Astyanax mexicanus: one gene and its partners. The protein of the gene in region 3 purifies or fractionates together with the protein of the main gene of each other region. This does not show direct contact. Links are inferred from orthologs where the notes say so. Each region holds a gene or a part of one and is shown on either strand. Other genes may lie near its edges.

The links.
Region 1: the proteins of prpf4ba (region 3) and zc3h18 purify together in Homo sapiens (co-immunoprecipitation; 4 studies listed by BioGRID and IntAct, counting the BioPlex papers as one, with this or other methods). This does not show direct contact. The link is inferred for Astyanax mexicanus from reciprocal best matches to the Homo sapiens genes PRP4K and ZC3H18.
Region 2: the proteins of prpf4ba (region 3) and pnn purify together in Homo sapiens (affinity purification with mass spectrometry; 5 studies listed by BioGRID and IntAct, counting the BioPlex papers as one, with this or other methods). This does not show direct contact. The link is inferred for Astyanax mexicanus from reciprocal best matches to the Homo sapiens genes PRP4K and PNN.

What each region holds. Positions count from the first base shown.
Region 1 is NC_064416.1:22,224,143-22,234,800, reverse strand, and holds the start of zc3h18 (zinc finger CCCH domain-containing protein 18), read left to right. Parts: upstream 1-6,297; 5' UTR 6,298-6,427; intron 6,428-6,684; exon of another isoform or gene 6,685-6,815; intron 6,816-8,375; 5' UTR 8,376-8,386; coding exon 8,387-9,295; intron 9,296-10,658. Other genes in the region: trhr2 (thyrotropin releasing hormone receptor 2), read right to left, coding at 424-815.
Region 2 is NC_064421.1:1,236,595-1,246,778, forward strand, and holds the start of pnn (pinin), read left to right. Parts: upstream 1-5,783; 5' UTR 5,784-5,855; coding exon 5,856-5,968; intron 5,969-9,086; coding exon 9,087-9,158; intron 9,159-9,251; coding exon 9,252-9,320; intron 9,321-9,848; coding exon 9,849-9,924; intron 9,925-10,184. Other genes in the region: gemin2 (gem-associated protein 2), read left to right, coding at 307-417, 957-1,001, 1,961-2,029, 2,099-2,209, 3,367-3,425, 4,264-4,300. UniProt on the Homo sapiens protein: Transcriptional activator binding to the E-box 1 core sequence of the E-cadherin promoter gene; the core-binding sequence is 5'CAGGTG-3'. Capable of reversing CTBP1-mediated transcription repression.
Region 3 is NC_064415.1:47,476,332-47,487,295, forward strand, and holds the start of prpf4ba (serine/threonine-protein kinase PRP4 homolog), read right to left. Parts: upstream 5,145-10,964; 5' UTR 5,062-5,144; coding exon 5,024-5,061; intron 4,069-5,023; coding exon 2,875-4,068; intron 2,741-2,874; coding exon 2,600-2,740; intron 2,076-2,599; coding exon 1,926-2,075; intron 1,646-1,925; coding exon 1,564-1,645; intron 841-1,563; coding exon 642-840; intron 1-641. UniProt on the Homo sapiens protein: Serine/threonine kinase involved in spliceosomal assembly as well as mitosis and signaling regulation. Connects chromatin mediated regulation of transcription and pre-mRNA splicing.

The DNA of each region.
Region 1 (10,658 bases), on a different chromosome or scaffold from region 3:
AACATCCAAAATAACTATAATAATACTATAATAATACTGGGTTTTTATAGCCAAAAAGATACAAATAATCTGAAAATTTTCTTTTGAGGGCAATCAGTCCTTTAAAATCATTATAAGTGATACGTGTTTCTAAAAGGATTTTTCACCAATGCACTGTGCATGACTTCATGTTTATGTTTCAACAATTTGATTATGAAACATTTATTAAATATCTAAGTTCCTTTAAAAAGAAACATCAATAAAATACTCTTTAGGGAATCAATAAAGGTCCACCTGTAGCTGAAGCTCCCTGGCTTGTTGACCATAGAATAAATTTGTATTCAAAGAATCAAGAATGGGCATACAGTATATGACTGATATAACACATAATCAGTTACACTGCACTGCAAATGCATCGATGCATTTTACACTGCTATAACTCACCTCTCCACGGTGAAGGCTGTGATGGAGCAGGAGGACACATTGATGCCCAGATACTGCAGGTAAGTGATGCCCAGACACCCTGCATGGCCGTACACCCAGGTGGCCATCAGGCTCTCTGAGATGTTGGGCAGCCCTGCCGCCACCAGCACCGTTAGATCTGCTACAGCTAGGCTCACCAGGTAGCAGTTGGTGGGTGTTCTCATGTGTCGTGTAGTCAGAACCACCAGGACCACCATAATGTTGCCTACGATTCCAACACCGCACACCAACAGCACCAGGAACACGGACACCGTCTTGTACTCCAGAGACTCGGCCACGCGGTCCCCAGTGCTCAGCAGGGAGATGTTCGAGACTGGGTTACTGTCCAGCTTGGAGCTCACGTTTTCCACCATGTTTTGAGAGCTTGTGTGTGCTTGTGTTAGTGTTGTAGATTCAGTTCAGAAGAAGAGTAAGGAAATGTTTTTACAACCTGTCTTGTTGAATCAGCTTTCCTTCATTGACACCCCTTTCATTATTTCCTTGTAGACTGCTATAATTCCATTAAACGTGACACTTTTGATTGCTGCAGCTAAGTCTCTTGTTGGCTTGTAGGCCTTTTTTGTTGCTTCTTAATGCAATTGTCCATCCGATCGATCCCCCTGAAAATAGAGATTGCAATAGTCAATTGGCAAAATGCCAATCTCCAACACCTTTAAGAGGATTTCACCATCCTGTGCTAATTGCTCAATAATTGCATGCATGTCCATGTCCTCTGGCATAAGTAGATAAGTGTTGTATGTATGACTGTGGATAGCAGACCTTCTCTAGGCTGCAGCCTGCTGAAACAGCGCTGATTAAAAGTCACAATGCAGGAATAACATCTACATCTCTCTCTGTCTCTCTCTCTCTCACAGACACACACACACACTCAGTGCTTCCCTCCACACCTGCTGGGGTCACAGAATTTTTTTTTCAGAAGAAAACTCTTCACACATTATCAACCTGTACCGACGATAAGCTGCCAGAGCAAATTATTCAAATGAGACATTTTAGTGGTACGCTGCATTAGGCAGCAAAAAAACCCTGCAAGTCTTAAAAACACACAACTGCCACAGGCAATCTGCTCACTACAGCAGTAGAAATTAAATACAACTGTTTTCAAGGATTTACACTTGGGGATGGGGCAGTGAATGTTCTATAATGCCTGGCCCATACTGCAGTTTTTTTTATCCTGACAGATGTCAAAAACGTGAGTGATCGCACACGTGAAATCATTTTTTACAGATTTTTCAGTCTTTAATTTTTGTTAGCTAGTGTTTGACCAGCCAACACCTCAGTTTTTTTTTTAATCTCACGGGAGTTTCTCATAAACTGTTATAATGTGAGAGTAAACATGGTGGATGACAGAAAAACATCACTTTGTTGAATAAATGTTTTCAACTCAGAAATAGTAATGTATACTGTTTGCTGTAAAAAAAATCTCTTTATCAAGCATAAAGTTAACACATTTTAAATCCACCCTATTCAAAAAAAAATATATGAGCATGTGTTATATTTAGGCGGCCCAGTAGAGTTAGGCTCTGTTTGGTTTAAATCCTGGGTCATGCTGCTTGGCATCAGCAGCCAGAGTCCGAGTCACCACAATTGGCTATGCTCTCTTCCCATATCACACCCAAACTGATGTATCAGAGAAGGTATGAGCGAGTCTTCACCTTCCTAGGTTTGGAGGCATTACTAGTGAAAGGGGGCGTACTAATAAGGAAATGTGGTAATTGACCTTCCAAATAGAGGTGAAAATGGAATAAAATTTGAAATAATTCGAAAAAAATAAATGATCAATAAACGATCAGGACAAACCTTACTGCTCTGGGACAAGATTAGAGGACTAAAGATTGGATTATATACTTCACATTCTACAGAATAATCTGGAAACTGTATCGAAATCGGGAGATTTTTGAGACTGTCGGGAAGAACAAATCAGCCTCAAAATTGATCTGACCATCCTGTAGTGTTGGCCAGGCATAAGATAACATTTGGGAAGTCCACAGTAATATTATACCAAAAAAAAAAAAAAAAAAGAACATGCTTAGTCCAGAAAATTAAGCTTTCAGATCAATTTAGGCTTCTTAACATGCTCTTCTATCTTGTCATCTGTTGCTGGTGTCACAACACAATAAAATATTGTTACATTGACTAGCTCTATTTAATACAGTACCTAACACGAATCACGATCACAAATCTGAAATTTAAAAGATATACTCTTATAAACTATAAAAAAGTGAAATTTCTCTATTTAATACTTCAGGTTATCTTTAAATAAAGAGTCCACAGTTAAACCTGGGTTTGTTATGAAATTCTCTGACTTTATCTCTACTGGAATGTCTTGAGCATCTTGAGCTAAACACGCTCATTAAGTCAGCAGCTGTCCTCTAAAGAGCATTTTCTTGCCGCGCTGTGATGTCGAGCCTGATTCACAGACTGGCGTTGATGGTGAGGGCCAGGCACGCTGATGAGAGCCTGTGATAAGAATTAAGCTGTCAGTCTTTTGGTCAGTCTCTCCTCAGTGAGTGGGATCCAAGCAGAATCATAAAGTCATCGAGCCATTCAAAGACTCTCTTTCACTCTCTCATTTTCTCTATCTATTTCCCTGTCTGTCTGTCTGTCCATCTGTTTATCTATATATCATATATGTATGCAGTTATATTTGTTACATTTACTGGGTCACCTGCTTAATCATTGTTTTAATAAACTGTTGATCCTGCTTTTGTTGGAGTAACTATCTCTGTTTTCCAGTGGAAGACTGTGAGTGTTCGATTACATTCACCACCCCACCTTTTCCCTAAATCCCAACTCATCCCAAAAATATTGGTTGGTGCACCATCATTCCATAGAACACCATTTCACTGTGTGAAAGCTCAATAGTGGGAGGCTTTATTCCCCTCCAGCCCCCAACAGGTATTACACATGGTGGCAAATGGCTCATGTTTATCTGCTCCATAGTAAAGGTGGGATACAATATTGTGATATATCATATAATATATTGTAAGTCGCTTTGGACAAAAGCGTCTGCCAAATATAATGTAATGTAATGTAACTATATATTTTTATTAAAGCACAGGTGCTCTAAACTCCCAAAGATTCGCCCCAATTTAACTTATTAAAGTTACTGCTTCATTACTCCATTAATTTATTATTATTATAAGTATTTTAAAGAAATTTCTTGTGATATATCCACAGAAATTTGATATCATTGTTATTGTGGGCCACATATCCTGGTAATATTGTATTATGAGAAGCCCTGTGATTCCCACACCTACTCCACTGTAACCAAATAATCAATGTTGAATTCATCTGTCATGTTATGGCTGATTAGTGTCTCTCCCACGATCTGTTTTTGTCTGTATGTCTGTCTCTGTCTGTCTCTCTAGTCATTTGTCTGTCCTTCGATCTATCTGTATTTCTCTGTGTCTGTGTGCATCTTTCTCTCTATGTGTCTGTCTGTCTCTTTCTCTATTTTGCTCTCTTTTGTGCTTCTTTCTCTCTCTTTGTCTATCTCTCCCAATTTATTTGTCTGTAAGTCTGTCATTATCCTAATGTCTGTCCTTTTATCACTCTCCCTTTCACTCAATTTGTCTGTGTGTCTTTTCCCCTCTCTCTGTTTGTGTCTCTCTCACTGTTTATCTGTCTGTCTCTCCGTGTCTGTTTCTCTCTCACTTTTACATGGTCCAAGTCTATTTCTTTCTCTTTTCTCCTTTTTCTCTACCTCTTTATGTCTATCTGTCTTTTTTGGCTTGTTCTGTGTGTGTCTCTCTCTCTCTCTCTCTTACTATGTCTCTCTTCCTCTTTATCTCTTTCTGTCTCATTTCTGTCTGTCTGTCACTCTTTCACTATGTCTCTTTCTCTGCATATGTATTTCTGTTAATCTCTCTTTACTTATGTGATTCTATGTTAATAAAATCTTTTTTATTGTCTGGCTGTATAAATTGTATAAATGTACTTGAAAAACAATGTTTCTTCTAAATGCTGGAGACAAACACACTTTCAATTGGTGAACAGGAAATGAGTATTATATCTGTTAACAACAACAACAACAGCAACAATTATTAATTGATTCATTGTGGTGAAGTAGATTATTTCAGTGGTTAGTATAAACAGTGCGTTATTACATGCTATTCTAAACCAGGAGGAAGCAAATACTGGAGAAAGTACAAAAACGAATACATATGAACACATTTAACATAATTCATTGGTTTTTTTTTTTTTTTTTTAAGAAGAACAGTCACAGTTTAACAGCACTGTATATTTCTCTTCACCCTCACACATGCGGTCAGTGCTAAACCAGAGATAACCCGAGCGAGTTAATAATATAAAACATTTCACAGACAGTAACTAACTTCCCAGCAGCTCCAGTGAAGGCGCGTCTCTTACCATTTTCTTCTCTTGGGTTTGGGATTCATTCAGTCCGTGCAGAGAGCGCTGGGTGGTGTGGTGTCGGCTGTGGAGCGCAGGTGAGAGAGTGAAGAGAGAGAGAGATGTGTGGTTCAGGTGAGGAGGAATGCGGCTCCAGCGGGCAGCGGCGGAGTGGGGAGCTCGCGCGCTCCTGGAGCCGCACTGTTCCGTGGGGACGAGCCGGGAGCGTTTTCTCTGCAACAGCGCTCTCTAGTGTGCGCGCGCCACCAGCGCTGCTGCACTTCACCACTGAACACACCACAAGAAGTAAGGAAACTTGTGTTTGGTATATTATTTTAAAAATAAATCTTATACCCTGGGAAAGCCTGCTAATTTCTCTTTTAAAAGGAGCCAATTTTGTAGGGAGCATGAATTTCAGAGCTGAGTATGTGGATTGCATAAATCTTCTCCAACATTGCCAAATAGCTTGTTCTGCCTGTAATATTAATTCTTGTTTTGAGCTTCTGGTACCCCCAGGTGCTGCCTGTGAGATGTCAGTGGTCAGTCAGTAAGTGTCTGCTTCATGAATCTGCATCATCCCACATTTGAATAATTTGGATCTGAATAGGGTCCATACGACAGGGCAACTTCTGTTCCGTAAAATCAAGGTGCGGCTTTATTTGGAATTGAGCCCTCGTACCACTGAAGGCCAAGATTCCTATAACGGGGGTGTCAGAGACAGGCAATGGCAGAGAGGATTTGGCTATTTTTTTCATGGGTGCAACCCATTTACTCAGCTTTGCTGCTTATCCCCCAAATGCCATTTAGAGGCTTCTGAATAGACTTACAACCCCTGACGTAGAGTTTGGCTTATTATGTAACCATCCCTGCATATATGTAGGCAACAATATATGTATATTCATTTTGCTTTGCATGCTAATCGTATATTTCAACATTGAAGGTGCTACACTAGCATTTTTTATATTCATTAGCATTCTTAGTTAAACTCAGTAACTCATAAAGTAGCACATTACAATATACTAACTCTAGCCTGAAATATTATAATATAGTAAAATACATATCTATGTGTATTTCAAACTACATCATTATTACTGTCACCTTCCCAAAATTACAGCTAAGTCCCAGCATTAAAAAAATAATAAAATGTATCTATGACTTAGTCACTCAAATATATATATATATATATATATATATATATATATATATATATATATATATATATATATATATATATATATATATTCTTTTTTTTTCATTGCACTGAATATCAAAAGCTTAATCTAGTGGAAGACACGTCCTACTCTATTCTGTTGTGATTAATTTTATTATATATTTTTTGTTTTATAATACCGACTTTAATTAATTTAATAAGACTCTTTTCGGATGTTTTCTGTGTGAATGGCTAGCCTAGCCTCGCCTTGTGTCGGGTGTTGATGACGATACTGTAATGGCCGCTCTCACGGTGTGTTGCGGGGTCTATGCGTTACTCCGGTAAAGAGAGAATCACTGATCGGCGCTTTCTTTCTTTATTCCCCGGTTAGATTTCCTCACGGAGGGGGAGAGGCCGGGTAGCCCCACATCGAGCCCCAGTCTCCGCGGCGCTGTGTTGTGAAAGGTGACCGACTGTGTTTTAAGCGCGTGTTTGCTGAGAGTTCTCGTTATTGTTGTTGGCCGCGGCGAGTCGGTGCGAGTCAGGGACGCCGCCGGGCAGCAGTGAGACGAAACGGGACGAGCCCTGCGGCCAGTCGCGGTTATTCTGCAGGGCGGGTGTAGTTTCGGGGGTTGGTGTCGGTCCGGGTCCATGAGCTCGGCTGTAGCGGGGTTTGGGCCGCTCTCTGTCGGGCCTGCTGCTCCTGCTGCTGCGCGGCCACCGGCGGAGCGACGCCTCCTCCTCATTGGCAAATAGGCGAAGCTAAGCTACGCTAGCCAGCTGTAGTCGGCGAGCTAGAAAATTGTCCTTTCGCTCGACCATCTCATGAGTCTCTTGCCGTTATTCCGAGCAGGTAACCTCATTCCAAATTACTTACTAAACTACAATTACATTAACTCTGTATGTTACGAAGTGTGCACGGTGTGAAGCAAGGCCGTTACGGGTGCGGAGACCTCGCTAGCTAACCTAGCTTAGCTAGCCAGTATGCTAAGCTAACAGGCTGTTAAACGGTAACGTTAACATAGCTAACTACTTAACCTAGCTAACGTTAGCTAGTAGGCTATCGTCATTAGCATTAGCATCGCCTTGGGTTGTGTTTATCCCTCCTCGGTGTTAGATTAGCTAACAGCTAACTAACTAGCTAAACAATTAACCGAACTAGTTAACCCAACTATTAGGGCTACACATTTAGCTATATTTTTTTGACAACAAGCACAGTAAACGATATTAAATTAATATAAAACAATGTAAGGGTAGTTAACCTAGCTACATATGACTAATAGTAACGTATATACAGTACAGAAATAATAACATTAATAGTGGATGTAGTTAGAGGTTACGTAACCCTAGTTGCAAGATTATGTGCTAATGCATAGCTAGCTTACATAGTTACATAAATACGTACTCACATATTAACCGTTTTATTAGTATTTTGTTTTTTAGATGACTGTTTAATAGGTTATAGTGTTCATCTTTATTTCTCTATTTTTTATTTATTTATATAAAACCTGAACGTTACAAGTGTAAAATTCAGTATATATGCATGTGTATATTCCCAAACATTTACTTGTTAGGTAGTTTACACTAATAGTCTAAATAAGTCTGCAAGGGTATTTTATTTTTGTATTTTTCGTATTCAGAACAATGTAGGACTAATATAGCTACCTAAGCTAACTGCTTTTCTGTATGTTTAAAACTGTGAAGCATAAAGTATCAATGGTAAAAACGCAATTCTGAGACAAAGTTCCCTGGGGTTAATACATTTTTAACTAAGCATTTTCTTAACAGTCACTTCACTTAATTTAATTAATTGTTTCTTATTAAAGGGAAAGGATAGATTGTTTCACTAAAGGAGTGGTCAAGAAAACAGATTCTATATTTTTATTTTTTAAGGAGGAAACAAAAAAAACTAATAAAACAAAGAGAATAGTTGTTAAACTGAAGGATTTATTAAATGAATAGAGCAAATTGTGGAACTAAGGGGAATGCTTTACTAAATTGACAGAACAATTTATTTTATTGCCAAAAAAAAAATAAGGGAAACATTTGTGTTCTTAAATATTTAGTTTTAACCTTGATCATTTTTTCTGGTCCTGTGGAAACCTTTTCAATCAGAATGTGCTCAGTATTGGAATTTAGGCCTGTTAAGGCCTGTTTTTGAAGACTAAGCCACACTTAGATTTGGTCAGAGTTACCAACCGCTGTCAAGGTTGGTGTTGTACCAGTCCTTGGCTAACAGTTCTGAAAGGCTTCTGAAAACCAAAACTGTGTTAAAGGATATTTACAACCCCTTACGTAGAATTTAGCTTAATATGTATCCAGAAAACCATCCTGGCATGTACTTAAGCAGCAATATATGTTCATATTTTGCTTTGCATGCTAATCATGTAAATATGAATGTTTTTGATTACAGATTGAGTGCTGATGGACACCCCTGAGAGCCCCACACAGTCTCCACAGTCTCCAGAGGAGGAGGAGAAAGGTCTGTCAGACAGTGAGCTGCTGGAATCTCCAGAGTCCCCTACTGAGGGGAACAATGAAGTGTCTGACAGTGAGTTACTAAACGATGAGGAAGGAGGAGGAGGAGGGGGAGAGTCAGACATTGATGATGAAGACAAGGTTGATTTGGGTGGGAGAGCTCCAGGAGAAATATCTGACCAAGACGATGACAAGGTAGACGGGATCGCGGGGAAAGATGTACACCAGCAGGAGAAGTCAGGAACCATTCTGAAAGGTGGGCAACACATGAGCAGATCTCCAGAGCGGGAAGAAGAAGAGGAGATCTTGGAAACCCCTAGGTCACCAGACCCTGAATCACCAGAGCCCGTACATCAACAACCCTTCACCCTTGCTGAAGAAGAGCGTGGGGAAGCCAGCCAAGAAGAAGAAGAGGAGGGAGAGAAGACCACTGGCTTAGGCATGAGTCGTCCAGAGTTGGAGGAGGAGGATGAAGAGGAAAGGACACAAAGGAGGGTAATGGCAGTCAGTGATCTAAAAGATGAAAACTCTTCTGTCTCCAGAGAGCTGGATGAGCATGAGCTGGACTATGATGAAGAAGTGCCTGAGGAACCAAATATTGGTGTTCCAGAGGAGGATGACATGGAGAAGGGTCCTGGTGCTGAGGACGGTGAAGCGAATGAGGAGGAAAAAGACAACAAAGAGGAGGGGAAGAGGAAAAGAAGTGAAAGGAACCCTATCCTCCCCCCAGACCAGGGCAACTCTGATCTTAAGAAATCTGAAGAGACAAAAGGCCAAGAAAGAGGCAGGAGGGATTCCTTTCGTGATAAAAAGAAAGATGAAGATGATGGCGAGATTGATGAAGGAGAAATTGATGTAAGTACTCTTACCATAATTACTAGGATTTGTAGAGTATTTGGACTCTACTAGGTAAGTACACTGTGTTCAAATTATTTAAAAAGATGTTCTTAAGAAAAAGAAAGGGACAGTTAATGCACTCATAGAAATGAACTGTGCCTGGAATATAGAGCTGCATTATAATTGGGAAGGGGGATGACATTGTGATATTTTGTTGTTCTGCAAAACATGTTGTGATATAAAAAAATACAGGAGTTTTCTTCAAAAAGTCAAAAATCCAATAGGTACAATAATATTAACAATGCCCATTTTATGTCCAAGATAGGACAGATATAAATGATATTGAGCTTATTTTATTTCCTTTTGTATTAAGCAAGTTGTAGCATGACGTAATGTTTAAGTCGCCTTTTCTTATGGTGCGCATGCTGTGATGTGCCTTTTTTAGCAATGACTATGCTGAACAATATATTGTGCATCCTTGCTGACATATTGTTATTTGTCAGTCTTAAATATTTCAGATCATCAAATAAATGTAAATATTAGTCCAAGGCAACACAAGTAAACACAAAATACAGTTTTTAAATGAAGTTTTTCTTTATAAAATCCAAACCTACATTGCCCTATGTAAAAGTGGTTTATCACACCTGAGTTCAATTTCTCTAGCTGCACCCAGGCCTTATTACTGCCACACCTGTTCTTAATAGAGGAATCACACTTAAATAGGACCTGCCTGACAAAGCCGAAGTAGACCAGAAGATACTCAAAAGCTAGACATAATGCCAATATCCAAAGAAATTCATGAACAGATGAGAAAAAAAAATAAGGTATGTCAGTCTGAAAAAGGTTATAAAGCCATTTTTTGTGATTTTGTGTATAAAGCCAAGTTTAGGGATTCCAGTGAACCACAGTAACAGCCATTATCCACAAATGGCGAAAACATGTAACAGTGGTGAACCTTCCCAAGAGTGACCGGCCGATCAATATTACCCCAAGAGCACAGCAACCACTCATCCAAAAGGTCACAAAAGACCCTTATGACAAAGTAAAAAAAAAACTGCAAAAAAAAACTTGCCTCAAGTGAGGTCAGCGTTCATGACTCCACTATAAGAAAGAGACTGGTCAAAAATGGCCTGCATAGCAGAGTACCAAGACAGAAACCACTGCTGAGAAAAAAAGAACACTAAGGCTTGTCTCAATTTTGCCAGAAAATGCTGGTAGTATGTGATGGTGTGATTGTCTGGGTCTGGTTTGCTGACTTACTCTGATAAATAGAACCATGAATTCTGCTGTCTAACAAAAAGTCCTGAAAGAGAATGTCCTGCCATCTCTTTTTGACCTCAAACTGAAACGAGTTTGGGTTCTGCAGCAGGACAATGGTCCA
Region 2 (10,184 bases), on a different chromosome or scaffold from region 3:
GTGTCTTTAACTAATCTAGTGGGGGTTGCTTGGTGAAGGGTGGAGCCAGGGTGGTTCCTTGCTGGTTTTCTTATTGTGATGTCACGATAAGGGAGGCTCATAGAAGCAAATAATTCCTGATACCAAACTATTTCAGCTGATGTAAAGGAAATGATTGGATTGTTTTTAAACGTAGTGTTTTTTACTGGAACTATGAGTAATCTGGGTTGATATGTAAGCAACAATACCTTACACTTGATTAATTTCAGCACAGGTAGCCAGTGTAGGTGATTCTGGTGTTCTATCATGTCTTCCCTCTGTCTGTAGCCCAAACCAGATGATGAGGACGGCTGGAGGCGATTCTGTCTCGGGGAAAATGTTTATTTAAACGTCACTCACAGTGAAGACCGAGTGAGTCCAGGACTGGATTATGTAAAGGTATAAATAAACTCTCACACTTTCCTTTTACTGGGTTTCCATAAAGAATATGAACACAAAGATCATTAAAGGTCATTAAACTCTCATTAAACTCACCACCAGTTAGGGTGTTCTTCATACTGGATGTTCACAGATCCTTAAAAAAGCCTGAAATACAATGTTCAACAAAACGGCGAAATGCATCACAACAAACCACCAGATCATCTTCTCTTGTGTTCACCTCTTGTGTGTGGCATGGTTAATAAAGTAAATACAGAAAGAGGGTTCTGGGTCTAGTTCTGGTCTAGCACATACTGTATTTTAGTGTAGTTTAGCATGGAGCAGCAGCAGAGATGCATTAGTTAGTAACTGTAGTAATTATTATCTGAATAATAAATCAGGTTAAACTGCACCTGAACAGCCGTTTAGCTCTAAGATGAGGAGTATATTTGATATTTGGGTCAGATCAAGAGCAGAACTTTTCCAACAGATTATTGATTTACTTGGACTAGTATTTATCCACTAATAGTTTCTTCTCGTTCTCTTTCTTGTTTGTTCAGATGGGCTTTCCTCCGTTTCTCAGCATCGTCAGCAAACTCAGTCAGGTGACTTTTTAACATCAGAAAATTATCAGTTAACTGTTGTAAACAAGCCTGTATAAGCCTGTTTATGAAATGCGTTTTTTCCTGTTAGGTTTTTTTGATCTTAGTCGACCTGTTTGTCTGATAACCCTGTAATCTGATAACCCTGTAATCTGATAACCCTGTAATCTGATAACTCTGTGTGTGTGAGAACCCTATATTTTAACAATTATGTACTCTAATAATCCTGTAATATGATAACCCTATTTTTCTGATAACCCTGTGATTTTATAACAATGTAATCTAATAACCCTATTTATCTAATAGCCCTGTAATCTGATAACACTGTAATCTGATAACCCTGTAATCTTAAACTCCTGTGTGTATGATAACCCTGTAATATGATCATTTTGTTTGTCTGAAAACTGTGTAATCTGATAACCCTATTTATCTAATTACCCTGTAATCTAATAAGCATGCTGTCTGATAATTGTGTAATCTGATAACCATGTAATCTATTAACCCTATTTATCTAATAACCCTTTAATATAATAAACCTCTTTATCTAACAACCCTATTTATCTAATAAACTTGTAATCTGATAACCCTGTAATCTGATAGCCCTGACATCTGATAACCCTGTAATCTGATAACCCTATTTATCTAATAACTCTATTTATCTGATAACCTTGTAATCTGATAACCCTGTAATCTAATAACCCTGTAATCTGATAACCCTGTAATCTGATAACCCTTTTTATCTAATAACCCTATAATCTGATAACCCTATTTATCTAATAACCCTGTAATCTGATAACCCTATTTATCTAATAACCCTGTAATCTGATAACCCTGTAATCTTATAACCCTATTTATCTAATAACCCTGTAATCTGATAACCCTGTAATCTGATAACCCTATTTATCTAATACCTCTGTAATCTGATACTCCTGTAATCTTTAACAACTCTTTTTGTTGTGTAGTCGACGGTTTCTGCAGTGCTGGAGTATCTGATCAGCTGGTTTGAGGAGAGAGATTTTGTTCCACAGCTGGTGAGTTTAGTTAAACTCTTCTAAATAACAGAACTTTACAGATGGTACTGAAAGCTCTTATCTCCACAGGGTCAGTGGCTGTATGCATTACTGGCGTGTCTGGAGAAGCCCCTCCTCCCTGAAGCTCATTCGCTGATCAGACAGCTGGCGAGGCGGTGCTCTGCAGTACGAGCAAACCTGGTAAACACTGCCTGCCTCTATTAGCCATTTATATGTAAACCGCTAACAACGAAAATGTAGAGTAGATTCCGAAGTGAAAATGGACAAATAGTATGAAGTTCACTAGAGCTTCACATGACGCCATGACACGAAAACAGAGCTGGTGGATGTTAGAGACCTTGCTCTCCTCCACTTTCTATTTAAGAATGCCCCACAGATGCTCAATTTAAAGCTTTAAAGCTATATCAATTTTGGGGCAGTCCATCACCTTTATCTTCACTTTACTCAGTAAAGCATTTGAGTGCTGAAAGCACTCATACAGCCTCAAACCATGATGCTACCACCACCATGTTTGCCTGTAGGCAAGGGACAATTTTCTTTGTACTCTTTACCAGGACGCCGCCAAATATGCTGGACACCATTTGAGCCAAACAAGTTTATCTTTAACTCCTCAGATCACAGGACATGGTTCCAGTAGTCCATGCTCTTAAACTGCTTGTTTTCAGTAAACTGTGTTCAGGCTTTCTTGTGCATCAGCTTCAGAAGAGGCTACCCTCTAGAACAGTGCGATGCAGACAGAGTTGATCTAATGTGTGCAGTATGTGTGAGCGTATGGTCTGAGCACTGCAGACTGACCTCACACTTCTTCAACCTCTGCAGCAATACTGGCAGCACTATTCTACACATCTGTTTTTTAAAGCCAGCCTCTGAATATAGAAATTTTAAAAGAATTTAGTAATTTTGTCGTAGATTTAGAAGTATGTAGTGATAAAATGATTATAGTAGGAGTCTTCAACATTCATTTTGAACAGGACCTACGTATTACTGTAATCATACTCTGGATTTATTTTTTAGTTTTGAATATTAGATAACCTCAATATTCTTATAGCCTAGGCTATCTTTATATAGAGCAGCAATTCTGTTTCCCACATCCACAGAGAGCTCTTTGCCAAGAGGTGGCATGTTTAATATCCAGTGGCCAAGTATGAGAGAATTGAACCCAAAACACCAAATTTAACCTAAGACCTTGAAACACTAACAAATCACATGACGCCAGGGACGGAAAATGGCTAATTTTGTCACGAATTTATATATAAAACCACACTTGTATATATTTTTAATCTATTGTAAGTATATTATACATGTAAAGTATGTTTTTGTGTTTCATTTTATTCTAGGAGAGCAAAGATGACGACAGGCTGTCAGCACTGAACTTGTTAATCTGTATAGTTGCCAGGTAAACTGTGTTTTTCTAACCAACATATCAATAACTTTAATGGATCATTCTAATGTTATATAGAGTTAATTACAGGTAGATACTCTCACTGATCACTGACTTTATTAATCTTTATTTGGGTTTAGTATTCTAATGTTATATAGAGTTAATTACAGGTAGACACTCTCACTGATCACTGACTTTATTCTTTATGTTTATTCAGGTTTAGTATTCAAATGTTATATAGAGTTAATTACAGGTAGACACTCTCACTTTACAATGACTTTATTCTTTGTGTTTATTTGGGTTTAGTATTCTAATGTTATATAGAGTTATTTACAGGTAGAAACTCTCACTGATCACTGATTGTATTAATGTTTATTTGGGTTTAGTATTGTAATGCTATATAGAGTTAATTACAGGTAGACACACTCACTGATCATTGATTTTATTAATGTTTATTTGGGTTTAGTATCCTAATGTTATATAGAGTTAATTACAGGTAGACACTCTCACTGATCACTGACTTTATTAAATTTTATTTGGGTTTAGGATTCTAATGTTATATAGAGTTAATTACAGGTAGACACTCTCACTGATCACTGACTTTATTAATGTTTATTTGGGTTTAGGATTCTAATGTTATATAGAGCTAATTACAGGTAGACACTCTCACTGATAACTGACTTTATTATTAATGTTTATTTGGGTTTAGTATTCTAATGTTATATAGAGTTAATTACAGGTAGACACTTTCACTAATCACTGACTTTATTATAGTTTATTTGAGTTTATAAATTTTAATGTTATATAAAGTTAATTACAGGTTCTTTTTTTTCCTCTTATTTCTTTTATTTAGGTATTTTGAGCAGATTGATTTGGCTGATAAAGAGTGAAGAAGACGATGCTGCAGATTATGGGAGATTTTTTGTAGATGTCTGTTTTCTATGATTACATGTATGAATGCTGTTATTTGCCAGAAACTGAATGTGTCTCAGCTGATCGACTGATTTCGTGATCAGTGATCAATATTGGTCAGTAGATTTATCAATGAATAGTTCCATTATAAAAACAGTTTACAGTGATTCATTTCAGCTGTATTGAAATAAACCTGTAATAAATCTACTGAGTGTGTTCCAGTTTAGGTTTTGTTTTCTTTTTCCATCACACACTGCATTACATCAGCAGTTTCTGAATGTGACTACTACTACTACTACTATTACTACTACTGATTATACTGACTGGCTAATTTGTCTCTATTTATGGAATTAATTTGGAAATAAAAAGGGAAAATATTTGCTATAAAATTAGAAATTAATATATATAAATATACATTTGTCGTTATTTGAAAATTGTTTTTTTTAATTTGGTCAGTCTTTGCTTTCATTTGTTTGTTTCTGTGGATTTTGTTTTTTGGATTTTGCTGCTAAAAACTTTCAAAATATATATTTGATATATTTATATTTTTATAATAATATATACATATATTTCCCCCCTAATAATAGCAGAAGTGTTAAGTATTTAGCTAATCTAGCACAAACTATTAAACCTTTAAAACCAACTATAATGTCCTACATATTACGGCAAGAACTACTCAGCTAAGTAATTTTTTTTTAATTACTTTAAGAAAAAATAAAGGTCAGTTGATATAAAAACATTCAATAATTGAAAGTATTTTCAAGTGCAGTTGCAAAAATGACCATCAAAAGCGTTATAAAGATAGAACTGGCCCTCATCAGGACCTATTTCCTTACTGTGCAGATGTCCTTCAACAGTACATTTTTTTAGTAATGTTCTAATCCGTATTACGGCAAGAACTACTCAAATATGTAAAGCAAAAAAAATTCTTTAAGAAAAACTGAAGGTCAGTCAATATGAAAAAAATAATAACTGAAAGTATTTTTAAGTGCAGTCGCAAAAAAGATCATAAAATACGTTTTAATGATGAAACTGGCACTCATCAGGACTTGTTTCCTTACTGTGCAAATTACTTGAAAGTCTTTCAACTTGAACTATTTGAGTAATGGTCTAATCTATATTACGGCGAGAACTACTCAACTAAGTAAAGAAAACAATACTATTTTCATTATCAGGTCAGTCGATCTGAAAAATTTCAATAACTCAAAGTGTCCTCAAATGCAGTCGCAATAAAAAAAAAGACCATAAATACGTTAGAATGATTAAACTGGCACTCATCAGGACTTATTTCCTTACTGTGCAGATTATAAACTCTTTGAATCTTGAATCTTTTAGGTTACATGTGACTCTTTATAAGCTGAATAATTGGCTGGCGCTGCCAGCACGAACCACCACGATTGGCGGAAGTTAACGTGAGGGTCGGCGCCTATTGGCTGCTGTGTTTGTCCATCATCAGGTAGAGGTGGAACTCCGGCGGTGCTCCATGCTGGTTAGCGGTAGCGGCAGTAGGGCTAGCTGAGCTATCGGAGCAGGATGGCGGTGGCGGTGCGGAATCTGCAGGATCAGCTGGAGAAGGCAAAGGAGAGCCTGAAGAGTGTGGACGAGAACATACGGAAACTCACTGGCAGAGACCCCAACGAGCTACGGTACGACCGGGGACCGGGATCAGCTCCGGTACAGCGGGGGAACGGGGCTAGCGAGCGGCTAACCGCAGCATGCTAACCGGCTAAGCTAGTTAGCTTACCTTTAGTTTAGAGAGCTAGCTAACGTTAGCTGTGGTTAAATACAGGGGCTGTAGCTCTAATACAGAAAATAGGGTGCACACTTGTGCTCTAACTAGCTAGGGCACTTAAAGCTATTTGGCTAGATTAACATGTAGAATGGGGTAATTACATTCTGTCGATTTCTAACCCCATTAGATAATAAAATAAGCGTTTTACTAATATGTCATATCAGTATTTAAAATGTAATCGCTGCGGTGTGCTACTAAAGTGCACACTTCTGTGTTGTGCCCTAACGAGGGCACTTAAAGCTAGTGTTAGAAGGCTAAACAAGACATTAGGGATTCATTCCAACATACTAGCTAGCTAGCAAAATAAACATTTTACTTATATATATATATATATATATATAATGTCATACATCAATATATAATATTTAATTATGTTTTGTGCCATAGCTAGGGCACGCAAAGCTAGCTAATATGCATTCATACATACATACAATTGCTACGGTTTAAAGTGCATACTTCTGTGTTGTGCCCTAGATAGGGCACTTAAAACTTGCGTTAGTTAGTTAACTAACTAGTTAATATTAATTAATATGTAATATTTAGCACAGTGTTGTCCGTGTTTTCAGTAGTATATAACATTTAACTCTGTTCTGTGCCTTAGTTATGGCACATAAATATAGCTAAAATGAATGCAAACATATATGCATGCATACATACATACATACATACATACAATTGCAATTTGTTTAAAGTCCATACTTCTGTGTTTTAAGAATGCAGAGCTTTGACACTTTCCAACTTATTAGCTAGTTAATATACTAGTACATATAACAAAACATATATATATATATATATATATATATATATATATATATATATATATATATATATATATATATATATATATATATATAGTCAAGTAACGTTAGTTTTATTGTCTAATCTACATATGTAAAGGATATATAGAGGACTTAAAATACAATACAATAAATCAAGATTATTATTGGCCAATAAAATAAATCTATGACTAACATGTAATACAATATATTAATACATTTTTGAATTGCTGCGGTCTAGTGTGCTAGTGTGTGTGCTAATTAGGGCACCTAAATTAACTAGATTAGCAAAGCAGTTAGCTAGCATTGGTTTCAGACTAGATTGGAGTGAAAGGTGCATTCCAATTTTGACCACTTGTTAATAAAAAACAATATTTTATTGTGCAATTTAAGCTAATTACCTAACTTTTATAGTTTAAGGTAGAGTAAGTTGTTGTATAATAACGTGTTTAAAACGTTCCCTCGGCTTGTTTAAGCGAGAGTTACAGGTGGTAGATAGTTAGTGTATTGGGACGCACCCGAAGCTCTTCCTGCCTAACTAGGGCGAAACTGCGCAAAGCTAAGCTAGGCTAGCGAAACTGTGTTAGCTTAGCTTAGCAAGCCCAGCACTGATTGAGCTCAGCAATGCTATGCTAAGCTAATTTTTAAGGCGTATGGTGTCATTTATGAAGGTGAAAGTGTAGTTTTATAGCTAATATACACCAACAGAAAGGATATGGGTGCATGATAATACAGATTGTCTCCTAATATTGTAGATAAATATTAAATATTTTAGTTATTTCTGACAAATTTGCTGCTAATGTTTGCTAACTACATAGTTAGCAGTTAGCTCAGCTGTCTTTAACTCATGCTGACTAGCATAACTAGCTATCCTAGCTAACGTTACCTCAGTGTCAAAATATAATATTTACACTTTATTAAAATGTTTATTTAAGTACTGTGGTGATTTACAGCACATTTAAAGGTTTGTTATCTAGTTCATCAGTTAAAACAGTAGCTGGTGAGTGTAATATTAGGCTATTTGGTTAATATAACAGTTAAAATGGTATATAATATTTCTACAGGCCAAGCAGTGCTGTCAGTCATGTGTGTTTTTTAATAAGTATAATCAACAAACTGCAATGTTTAAGGTATAGTTACTGTAATTCGTGCATTATAAGTATTAGAAATTAACTTACTTTTATAATCTTGGCAGAATTTAAGGCTGCTTTCACACCTACCTTTTTGTGGTAGTGCTGGGTGGTATGACTGAAAATATGTATCATCATGTAGATCACATTTATCTATCTATCTATCTATCTATCTATCTATCTATCTATCTATCTATCTATCTATCTATCTATCTATCTATCTACAGGCCTGGAAAAATATATAGGTATATGTTTAAGTAAAATTAACATTTTATTCTATAAGCTACAGACAACATTTTTTTTATTCCAAATAAACATATTTTTATTTATAGCAATTATTTGCAGGAAATGAGAAATGGCTGAAATAACGAAAAAGATGCAGAGCTTTCAGACCTCAAATAATGCAAATAAAACAAGTTCAAATTCATAACGTTTTAAGAGTATAGAAATCAGTATTTGGTGGAATAACCCTGTTTTTTAATCACCTTTTTCATGCATCTTTGAATGTTCTCCTCCACCAGTCTTACACACTGCTTTTGGATTACTTTATGCTGCTTTACTCCTGGTGCAAAAATTCAAGCAGTTGGTGTTTTGTCGTATCACCAAAAGTATTGCTAAAATACCATGAAATGTTGTGATCTTATTTTAAGGCCATATTGCCCATTCCTACCAGGCAGTGTATAATATCAAACATTAAATGATATCTTTAGTTAGTATAGGGTTAACTTGGTCCCACAAAATTACAGAATATAAAAAGGAATCTGTCTGCATTTACAGATACGATGGAAAACTTAAAAAGATATACCAACAACCGTTAACACAGCTTCCTTATCAACAAAATATATTTTAAGACAGTTCTATAAACAGACCTAAAATACTCGATTTCTCAACTGTTCTATTGCACAAGTAAGACAGGGTAAATATAAATGTACTAATTATAGTTATAAGGTGGGGTGCATGTATGTAAAGGGAGTGGGATTTAGACAGAAAGCTAGAATTCAGCACAACACCTGTAGATATCTGCAGTGTTTTAAAGCCCACTCACTCTGATCTGCTTTGGTTTCAGGCCGGGTCAGACCAGGCGTTTGTCCATCACAGGCCCAGGTGGAGGTAGGGGGCGTGGCATCGGTATACTGAGGTGAGTCTGTGTTTTGCTTTATTCGGATGATAAATCTTCTGCGTGTTGTTGGTTTGCGTTTGTAATAAAACGCCTCGTTTTTCTTGTTTTAAGGCGTGGACTCTCTGATGGCGGTGGAGGACCGCCAGCCAAACAGAGGGACATCGAGGGGGCACTCTTGAGGTACGAGCTGCACATTAATATTACTGTTTAAATAGTTCTTATTTATGTTCTCTGTACTGTAAAAACTAATTTCAGGAAGTTAGCTCTTTAAACATGTCCCTGTGCCCAGGTTTTGTTATTAATATCTGTTTTAACCTATAATAAAACATGATTTTAATGCAGTGCATGAAGTACAGTATCTCCCTAACCATTAGCCAGCTGGTTTAAGTAATGTTAGTAATGTTGGTGAACAAGGGAAGTCAATGCTGAGAACTGTCATTATCTCAGCCAAATACATTTTAATGTGTATGTGTTAATGTTAAATGATTTTTGGGATATTGTGTATAAATTGCGAGAGACTCCCTGAACTTCCTTGACTTTGTGGGATGACTGATCTGTTTGGCTGTTTTAATCTGTTTTTATATATATATTTTTTTAGAAATTTAGTAATAACAATAGAAATAAAGGCAGTTCAGGTGATGTGAATGTTTTAGTACATTGTGTTTGTTGCAGATTTAGGCTGATTATAACGCATTAAACCCGTTTCAGGCTGGCGGGGGATCAGAGAGCCAGGAGAGATTCACGCCATGACAGCGACGCTGAGGATGATGACGATGTCAAAAAAGTGAGAATTTCCTGTTTGTTTGTTTTTTATGTGTTTTTTTAAAGCAATAGGAAATCCTGAATGTTTTAATAAATCACAAGAATGTGGTCAGAAGACTCTGGGGGACTTATAACTTCACCCATGTCACTAATAATACAGTTTTGATTTACAGTTTTGGTTTGTACAGGCATGAAAAACATGTAAAAGTAAAATAGCAATTTCCAAGCCTGAATAAGTTGCTCTACAAATCTTAGTATTTCCGTTTATCGACTGAGAAAAAC
Region 3 (10,964 bases):
TAGCTTAATAATCAGTGTTTTTTTTTATTCTTTGATTCATCTCGACACAGACAAGTTTCAGAAATCGTTTTAGATCTGCCAACACATGGCTACACATTTTACACATTTAGACCGCCTAGTACGCTTGTACAATTCCATGTTCTGAAGTATGCATGTCGTTTAATCTCGCATTTTTCTTCTGTTGTCACAAATTTGAGTGTGAGCCTGTTAGCGCTGTTTGTGTTTAGCCAAACTGTTGACACAGCATTGCTGAGCTGAATTCTCTCAGGTGCTCTCTCTCTCTCTCTATCTATCTCTCACTCAAACAAACACAGCTGAAAACACATCTCAAAACAACTGAAGACCTGAAAACCAAAGTAATTCATGTTTACCAGACCTGTAGAAACATTTAGCTCAATACAGTGTTTCGCACAAATATATTTTAACAGTAGAATTTTAGGAAATAAACCTTTTCTCAAGATTAAAAACATAAAACATTCAAAAATAAACAATATAACAATTATTCAAGAGTCACCAATTAGTGTAAAACATTTTTTTTGTTTATATAAGCAAATAACAACATACTGAATTATCACAGTACAATTACTGACAGCTGTCTGCTTAAAATACATTAATTTATTTATTCTCTTTATTAAACATACCCTCTTTTTCCTGGGTAAGCAGGTTGTGTTTGGCCTTGACGTTGGCCTCAAAAGTGTCCAAGTTTTCTTGTTCATATGCCTTTACATCAGCTGCAACACGTTCGAGGACATCGTCCGGAGAGGGTGAGCGGCTGCGGGGGCTACTCTGTGGACTGCCAGGTTCAGACTTAATGCTGTCCTCCTTAGTTTCCTTATATTTCTGTATAATAGAACATGTGAGAGAGAGGGAAACAATACAACTATTCAGTTTTACTGAAGGTTACAAAAAATGGCTCATTAACCACTATGATAGGGTTGTTAGTTGAGCTGAGGTAACTCAGCTTTAGCATTTGTTTGTTTAAAAAATGATTGGCTGCCTTTCTCTGAGAACAATTCACTAACTTCTGGGTAAATAGGGTTACGTACTCAATAATTATGTTAACTATAATTTTGTAACTGCATTAGACATTAAGGCTATTTAATTTATTGTGGTGAAAAAAAGGAAAAATTTATTACAAAAGTTTGGTATTTAGCCAAATGTTTAATTTTGTTCAGATTGGGCCAAATATTTTAATTTCAGTGCACAGTAAACATTTTGCTTACTAAAAGATAAAATTGGTTAAGATGTACAACATTCAATGTACAACATTTTACATCCACAGTTTAGCTATAGACCAATACAGTACAGTGAAGGCTCAGGTGCTTTATATATTAAAAGTTATTATCTTCTGCAGATGTAAGGGCACCAGTAGAAGACAACTCCTATTATTTTATTGTAAAAACTCATGGGAAAAGCAGCAAGCCAGTATTTTGTGAACATCAAGTAAAAAAAAAAAAAACTATCATTGCTCAGTCTTCACATACTGCTCTGTAATTCCAACAAACATAGATTCATGAATGTTTTATAGTGAATATGTAGCCAAAGACATGACAAGGTCCTGACCCGCACAATCGCCAATCGCTGCTGTCTCTGCTGCTGAATCAGGGCTTCCTCATCCTCTTCATCAACATCATAATCCTCCAGCCTGTATGGAGTCATAATCCACAACTGCAATTATTCTTTATGCATGTCCACACCACAGGTCAAAACAGTTTTAAACCACTTACAGCAGCCAGAGCCAGTCTGGACTTCCTTGGGGCCATTTTCGCTGCATCTTCTAATTTATGCGGGACACTAACTCTCCCTAACTCGGTGCAAGGTGGAGACGGGGGGGCCTTTATTCATTTGTGGGGCCACACAGTGTGTAATAAGCATATAGGACAGTCCAGCTGACAGCAGCACTAAAAGAACCCTGATATACTCACACTTCATCATCTGAATCATCCTGTTCGGCTCTCATGCCTTCAGACAGACTGCCCTTAAACTTGTCCTCCTTCTCTCTGCTTCTCCTCCTTCTCTCCTGAGATCCTGAGTGGGCATGCTGCCTGAGGCCCAATCTGTCGCGTTCCACTGATCTAAAACATCAGAAACATTTTAAGTGGAATTGTCCATTAACCAACCTCCATCAAGGTCCATAGGACCCTAGGAGCCCCTAGGATTCAACTCCCAGCCCTCTTAACTGACAATACTCCTAACACTAGGACCCTCCTGCCTCTCTGATACTGGCTAAGTCACAATCTGCAGCATTACTAGCAGCCAGCATGCTTGGAAGAAAGCACCAGATCCCCAGCACTGACACATCAGCCAACAGATGTGTGTGCTAACCAGCATCAAATTGTGCAACCTACCCACCCAGAGCATGAACAATTGTGCTTCCTCAGCTTCCTGCTGCTGATTGTGTAGCAGCATGAACCTGGACTCAAACTCACGATCCTCAGGCCATGCTGTCAGCATGTTGGTCTTCTGGTGAGCCACCCAGCACTTTTCATTCAGGGTTACTAACTGACAACCCGACAAGTGTTTGGTAATGTGCTCAATTATTAAGAATAAGGATACAGGTGAGTAGTACATATTAACATGTGAAAGGGCTTAGACAGACCTTCTTCTGGGAGGAGAGGACCTGCTGGCGTGTCTCCTGGGGGAGCGGGATCTGCACATTAGGGGGGAGCGGCTCCGTCTTCGTCGAGTACTTAGAGAAGGACTCTGCCCTCTGCCACCTCCTGTCTCATGGGAGCGGACACTGTAAGGCACACAGAATCTCTAAACAATAGAGAAAACAACAGAAACAGACTACGAGTACAGGGGGTAGGTTGAAATTTATGTTATGATTACTGTTAATATTGAAAGATAACAGAGGAGTGTTTAGCCTCCAACCTGACAGGAGATGGTCTCTGGCGGTCAGAATCTCTTTGTCTTCTCTCTATGGAGCGAGATCGAGCCCTTTTGGATGGAGATCTGTTACGGGGGTCAGAGCGGCTTTGCTTGGACTCTCTGTCACCAGTCGGGTTCCGGGAAAGCTGCTGAGGGGCATGATGTTCCCTGGTCCTATTAGAGGATGTAAGCCATGCTGGACTTTGGTCACGCTTTCCACTGGGAGACCTGTTTTCCTTGCCTGAGAAGATTTCCTTAGATGGAGACTTAACCATTGTCTTGTCCCTGTCCTGCCTGCGGTCAGACTCAGGCTGTCTGCTATGTCTGTCTTTGGATCTAGATCGCCTCATCCTCTCAGGTGATTTGGAATAATCAGCACTTTGTGTGCCTGGCTGTGGAACTGTAGGTGAAGACTCCTTTTTATTTTCCTGCTCAGTCTCAGCAGAGAGAGAATGCTGAGTCTTGTATGTAGATTGTTGCTTTCTTGATGTTACAGGAGACCTGGGCTGCTGAATACTTCTGGAAGGCCTCCTGTCAAAGGATGGACCTGGACCTGGCATTCTCTCCTTGGTCTCAAAAGTTGGCTCAGTTCTGCTCTTTCTTTTGTCTGATTTATGCCGATTTTTGGTAGGCATCTCCTTGGATCTGCTTCTACTTTGAGTCCAGGAATCAAGTCTTTCAGCTTCTTCAGCAGATGGATGGCTCTTTGACTTATGTGGCTCTTTAACAATGTCCCTAAGCTGATCTCCATTACATGTCCCTTCTGGCATTTCCCCATCCTCATCTGAGCCTGAGTTATATCCCTGCAGTATCAAGCCCATTCCTGAGTGCACCCTCCCGTCCAGCAGCTCATTATCAAGCTCTGCTTGGATCATGGCCCTCTGCTTCTCTAAATCCTCCAAAGCTGCCATGTCATCCAGTCTGGACCTCTTAATTGAGATAAGGTCTGCATCATCCTCCTCTTCAAAACAGTCTCCATCATCCTGGCATTTGTGTTTTTTATGCTTGTGTCTGTGCTTGTGTCTGTGTTCTTTTTCCTCTAACGATGAACATTTGTGCTTTCTATGGTGTTTATGTTTCTTTCTTTTGTGTTTCTCCATGTCATCAACCTTCACGTTCTCAGTTTTTCTTCCTCTGTTCTCTTCCTCTTCACCTGAGCCATTCCCAGTTCTGTCAGAGTTATCCATACCATCTTCTCTGGAAAGAAAAACACAATATAACTTTACCCAATATTGTTCTTTAGACAAAACACAAAAAGATTTTTAAGCTCCCTTACATTTATCATCGGTATAACAGCAACAATACAGAGAATATTTGGCAACAGAAATGATTTGTCCATCTATGGCAAAAACACAGTTTAAATAAAATTATTTAAAAAAATTTAAAGACAAACACAATATTATACCTCTCTACACAAAACACTTGCCTGTCCAAAATGAGAGCAACATTATGCTGACAGCTTGTCAAACAGTGGCTGTCACATAAACACCATAGCCAGTATATTACAAAACTAACAATAAATTATATGACTTTCTTCTGCATATAATAAATAACAATTTAATCTAATGTTTGCCATATTTGCCAGAAGCTTTTAGATTGTTGATGCCGTTCCCTTTACCAGGAAACATAAATGTAATAATGGGGCTATTGAGAAATAAGTACACTTCTTTCATTGCTACAAATATCGTAATTGGCAGGCAGAGAGTTTTCTCAAACTAACCTTTCAGCAGATTAAGTAAAGGCCACGGTATTAACTGCGTATTAAATGCTTTATCTGTTAGAGAATGTTCTTTGTTTTGATATTACTTTTGATAAGGTAGCAGTGGCTAATGTGACACCACCATGTAACTAACTAGCCTACAGATTAAAGCCTATAACTTTATAATATGCAAAAGAAACAACCCAAAACAATCTGAAAATAACCTAATTTCTAATTAAACTGTTTTATTTTGGTACTGTATGCATTAATACCCACTGACAGATTAGGTAGGTAGAGCTAGCTAGCAGGCTAGCATAGTTTGGACGGGTTTTACCGGCATTAGCGACATAAACTCAGCGTCTGCCCTGCCACTAGTACAGTGTTCTGTGGGAAATGCTCTGTTAATACGTGTAATATGTGCGCCCATGTTCGCAGAGAGTAAAGGTATCTTACTTGATATTGGCCGCTGTGCCGCTGATCAGCGCTTCCATTTTAGCAGTAACAGGCTGAGCTAGCTCGCTAACTCCGGTGGGTAAACCTTAGGCACCGTTTACAAATAACACACTTCGTAGAGTAACGGCGAATGCAGCGTATAGCTGGAACATGAGAGGATTCAGATAGCTAGCTATACAACTTAAGCTGAAAACGTCATGAAGCGTTATTGTTTTACACGACGGGTTTTTATCCTGCTGAAATATTTCTGCTACAGAAAACATTTTTTTCGCTCGGGCTTTGAGTGAGCATTTTTCTTCACCCCTTACAACAGCTCTGGCAAAAACATGCAGCTAGCTAGGTTAGCTTGCTACGCTGTCCTGATGCCTTCAACTCAGGCTCAGATGGTTGTTTTTATTTATTTAACCTCGTACCTAATGTAGCTAATGTGAATACTAAGAAGCATTAGACAAAGTCATAGTTTTCTTTATGTTGAACTCCACAGAACAGCTAGTTTAGCTGAATGCCGAATGAGTGGATATGAAGAATCTGTGATGGAGAACTTTTAGCTGGGTTAGCTAACTATATTTTAAGGTGAGTCAAATTTTACTCTTGTATGTATGATTACATTTTACTAGTAAAACTCCATTTACAGATACAGCCACAGTTTATTGTAAAAAAAAAATGTTCCAATGTATCTTTTAAAGAGTTCAGGTCCACATATCTAATGCAAAAATGTACATTTAGGATATCAAATCAAATCAAATTTATTTGTATAGCGCTTTTTACAACAGGTGTTGGCACAAAGCAGCTTTACAGAAACATGATTACAGGACAAAGAATCAGGCAAAACATTACACATAGAAAATACAGAATACAGAACCCCCAGTGAGCGCGGAGGCAAGGAAAAACTCCCTCAGAGCTGCAGGAGGAGGAAGAAACCTTGGGAGGACCAAGACTCACATTTGAGGGGGGACCATCCTACCACTGGTCAAACGGCTTTTAAATTAAAATTTAAAAAGTCTTTTATACATCCATATAGGTTTTATGTACTCAGGAGTGTAATAGCGCCACTAATGGCTTGGATGTAATCTGTAGTGGAGAGTAAGATGGATGATGAGCAGCTGATCTGTGGTGGTGGTGGAGAAGAGCTGACTTCAGAAACTTCCATCAGTCTGGCCGGACAGGAGACGCGAGAGCCTGAGGGTCCAACATCGGTATCGGGTCAGACAGGTGGGCAGTCAGTAACTCGGAGGAAAGCAGAGAGATGGAATTAGTTTTGACTGGATTTATGCAAAACTGAGAACACACAGTTTACCACAATTTCCTCTGTCCATGAACCCCTGAATCTGCAGCCTTATCTAATGGAAAAAAACATTAATTACCAAAAGCTAAACTAAACAAGTAAGTTTTCAGTCTAGACTTAAAGATTGAGACTGTGTCTGAGTCCCGAACATATTCGGGGAGATTATTCCAGAGTTGAGGCGCTTTATAAGAGAAAGCTCTTCCTCCTGCAGAGCTCCTCTGAATTTTAGGAACTACTAATAAACCAGCACCCTGAGATCTAAGTAATCGCGGTGGTTCATAACAGGAGATGAGGTCTTGTAAATACTCAGGAGCGAGTCCGTGTAGGGCTTTATACGTTAACAGGAGAATTTTATAGTCTATGCGGAATTTGACTGGAAGCCAGTGCAGTGCTGATAGTACTGGACTAATATGGTAAAATTTTCTAGTTTTAGTAAGGACCCTGGCTGCAGCATTTTGAACTAGCTGAAGTTTATTTAAGTTACTGCCGGAACATCCAGACAGTAGCGCATTACAATAATCTAGCCTTGAGGTAATAAAGGCATGTACTAATTTTTCTGCGTCATGCAGTGATAGGGCATTTCTTAGCTTGGCAATATTACGGAGGTGTAGAAAAGCTGTTCTAGTAACATTAGATATGTGTTTATCGAATGCTAGATCTGAATCTATGATAACTCCAAGGTTTTTAGCTGCTGAACCAGGGGTGGCTGAGAAGTTAGCCAGATTTAGCATTAAGTCTGATAATTTATTTCTAGCAGCTTTGGGGCCTAATAGGAGAACTTCTGTTTTATCACTATTTAATAGGAGGAAGTTGTGCGACATCCATGATTTTACATCTTCTACACAATCCTCGATTTTCTTTAATCTCACTCTGTCATCAGGTTTGGCTGATATGAAGAGCTGCGTGTCATCCGCATAACAATGAAAATTCACATTGTGTTTTCTAATAACTTTGCCCAGTGGGAGCAAATATAATGTAAATAATAACGGTCCTAATATAGAGCCTTGTGCGATTCCATATCTTACCTTGGTATAACTGGAAGACATTTATCCTCACAAACTGATAGCGATCGGTTAAGTACGATTGAAACCATGCTAAGGCAGTTCCGGTTACACCGACCATGTTCTCTAGTCTTTCTAAAAGGATAGTATGATCTATTGTATCAAAGGCTGCGCTCAGATCGAGAAGTACGAGTAGGGAAACACAGCCTTGGTCGGCGGCTATAAGTAGATCGTTTGTTATTCTAACTAAAGCTGTCTCAGTGCTATGGTAAGGCCTAAATCCAGATTGAAATTTTTCATAGATCTGGTTTCTTTGCAGGTAAGAGCAAAGTTGTTGGGCTACAGCTTTTTCTAAAATCTTAGAAATAAACGGTAAGTTTGAAATAGGTCTATAGTTAGACAGTACACTAGGATCAAGATTTGGTTTCTTGATCAGAGGTTTAATTACAGCTGTTTTAAAGGCTTTGGGTACATGGCCCAGGGTGAGCGATGAGATTACTATCATTAACAGAGGTTTAATTATATCTGGCAGTACCTGTTTTAGTAATTTTGTGGGAACAGCATCAAGTGTGCAGGTTGTGCTGTTTGAAGAGGAGATAATTTTCTCTAGTTCTAGCTGTGGAAGTGGGTTAAAGACTTCCAACCTAACTTCAGTAACAGGGTTTTGTTCTAGATCAGCCAGACCAGATGACAGAGAGGATGTAATATTTATCTGTTTAATTTTATCCCGAATGTTTTCAATTTTACTATTGAAGTAGTCGATAAAATCGTTGCTGGTGTAAATGGCTGGAATCTGAGGTTCAGTACCTGCCTGGTTTTTAGTTAATTTGGAAATAACACTAAAGAGAACTCTAGGATTATTTTTATTTATCTCGATCTGTGAGGCCAGATACGCTGAGCGGGCTTTATTAAGTTCTTTTCTATATTTAACAAGACTGTCTTTCCACGCAGAGTGAAACACTTCCAGTTTAGTTGATCGATATTTACGCTCTAAATTTCGTACTAACTGCTTTAAGGTACGAGTTTGATCATTGTACCACGGTGCGAGCTTTTTCTGTCTCTCTATTTTGTGTTTAAGGGGTGCTACAACATCTAAGGTAGAGCGAAAGGTATTTTCTAAACCTTCGGTTAGTTTGTCTAGTTCTACTGGGTCTACAGGAGAGTACATTAGAGTTGATAAGTCTGGAAGCTTATCTGTAAATTGTTGGGCTGTAAAAGGCGTAATTGAACGTTTTACAGAGTAGCTAGGGGATGTACGTATATTATGACTAAGATGTAATTTAAATGAAATAAGGTAATGATCTGAAATTGCGGAGGTTTGAGAACGAATATTCGGGTTATCTATGCTCACACCCAGGGTCAAAACTAAATCCAGAGTATGATTACAGTAATGAGTAGGTCCTGTTATATTTTGAATAATACCCACTGAGTCTAAAATCGATGTGAATGCCTTTTTTAATGGATCATCCAATTTTTCGAAATGAATGTTGAAGTCTCCAACTATAATCACTTTATCATTACTTACTGCTAAGTCTGTGACAAAATCACTAAATTCTTTTAAAAATTCTAAATAGGGCCCTGGTGGTCTGTAGATGTTAATTAAAGAAAATGCATTCTTTTTTGTAACTGGATTAATTATACTGGTGTAAAGAAGCTCAAAAGAAGTAAAATTTTCATAGTGTTTCTGATTGCTAACTAAGGTACTTTGGAAAAATATGCAGACCCCACCTCCTCTACCGGACAATCTCGGATTGTGTATATAATTATAGCCTGCAGGGGTGGCTTCATTTAATGCTACATATTCATTTGGCCTAATCCAGGTTTCTGTCAGACACAGAACATCAAATTTCTGATCAGTTATCATTTCATTCACTAGAACTGCTTTTGAATTTAGAGATCTAATATTAAGTAAACCAATCTTTAGGCTTGAAATGTTAGTACTACAGTCTGGATATGATTGTTTAATATAAGTTAAGTTATTTAGATTTACTGTTTTAGTTTTTTGATGTTTTTGTTTGACTCGGGGGACAGACACAGTCTGAATACATTGGTATCTAGGTAACGTCTCTTTGCAGCTCGCAGACGGTTGGTTAAGCCTCTCTGTCTGCGGCCTGGTCCCGGCTCTGGATTGTCAGCAGCTTCTAATACTACTCTGCCGACTAACTAAAAGACTATGAGCTATGCTGCATGAAAGTAAGGCAGCACCCTCCCGCGTGGGGTGGACACCATCCCTACCTAAAAGACCAGGCTTGCCCTCAAAGTGTAGCCAGTTATCTATAAAGCCCACATGATTTTCTGCACACCACTTGGACATCCAGCGGTTCAGCGAAGAAAGCCTGCTGTAAGCTTCATCACCACGCCTCATTGGGATGGGGCCAGAGCAGATTACCTCCTCGGACAGCGTCTGGGCCTGTTTAATCACCTCTTTAATATTAGCCTTAGTTACTTCAGACTGCCGCAGACGAATATCATTGGCCCCTACATGAATTACTACCCTCGAATATCTCCTATTCCCTAACCTGAGGTTGCCACTAATGTCCGGTGCTCTGGCTCCCGGTAAACAAGTAACTGTTGCCGCTGGTGCCCCTAAAGGAGTAGCTAATTTCACGTGTCGGACGATAGAGTCTCCTATCACCAGAGTACCTTTAACAGGCTCCTCAGTTGGTGCTTCACTGAGCGGGGCAAACCTGTTTGACACGTGAACTGGGGGAGCGTGGTGTTTAGGTGGGCTGGCTGTGGCCTTTGCGGTAGCATTAGCCTTAGCCTTTCGACTATGCCGCCGAGACGTTACCCATTCGCCCCGCTGTGAGGGCTCTAAGCATACCTGTCAAGTTTTGGACTTAAAAATAAGGGAAATTTTCCGTCACCTGCTTCGAGTCGCCCACCAACCCAACCGAGGTACAGAATCCCTTATATTTTAAGACAGGTTTACAATAAATCTAAAATAACCACCTGGGAACATTTTACAAACTACAATTAGATTATCAGAATCTGACAGGTCTATCTTTGTTGACACTGAAATGTTGTGGACATTCCTACATATGTAATTCTTATAATACAGCCTAAGTTAAACCCTTTTCTAGACATTTACATGAAATCATCAGCTTTTACAAAAATGACATGGACCAGATATATTGCATAAGTAAATATTAGTCCAAAGGGGCCTAAACAATTAATAATTTAATTAATACTTCTTTCTATTGATCAGTCCAGTCCTGTCAGTCAGTTAATTTCAGCCCTCTTCACATTTTCTCTCTCTCCAGATCAACCATCTCTTCTACCCCTTCTAAGTATTAAATTACACCACAATACTCTTAAACTAGCCCTGAACTAATAAAATAAATACAGTTTCGTTCATTATAGCTTACAGTAGGCCTGCAAACCTAAACTAGAAAAGGTAAAGTTCGTGAACGAACTTTAAGTTGGCTTGGAAAAGAACGCTAATAACGTTAAAAAGTTAAAATGGTTGCTAAGCTTTTTCCGTCTGAAGAGTGTGAAGAGTCATTGATATGCTGTTAACGCTAAATGCTAAAAACGCTGACATCTAAAAACATTTGGTTAAACGCTGAAATCTAAAAACGTTTGGTTAAACGCTGAAATCTAAAAATGTTTGATTAAACGCTGAAATCTAAAAACGTTTGGTTAAACGATGAAA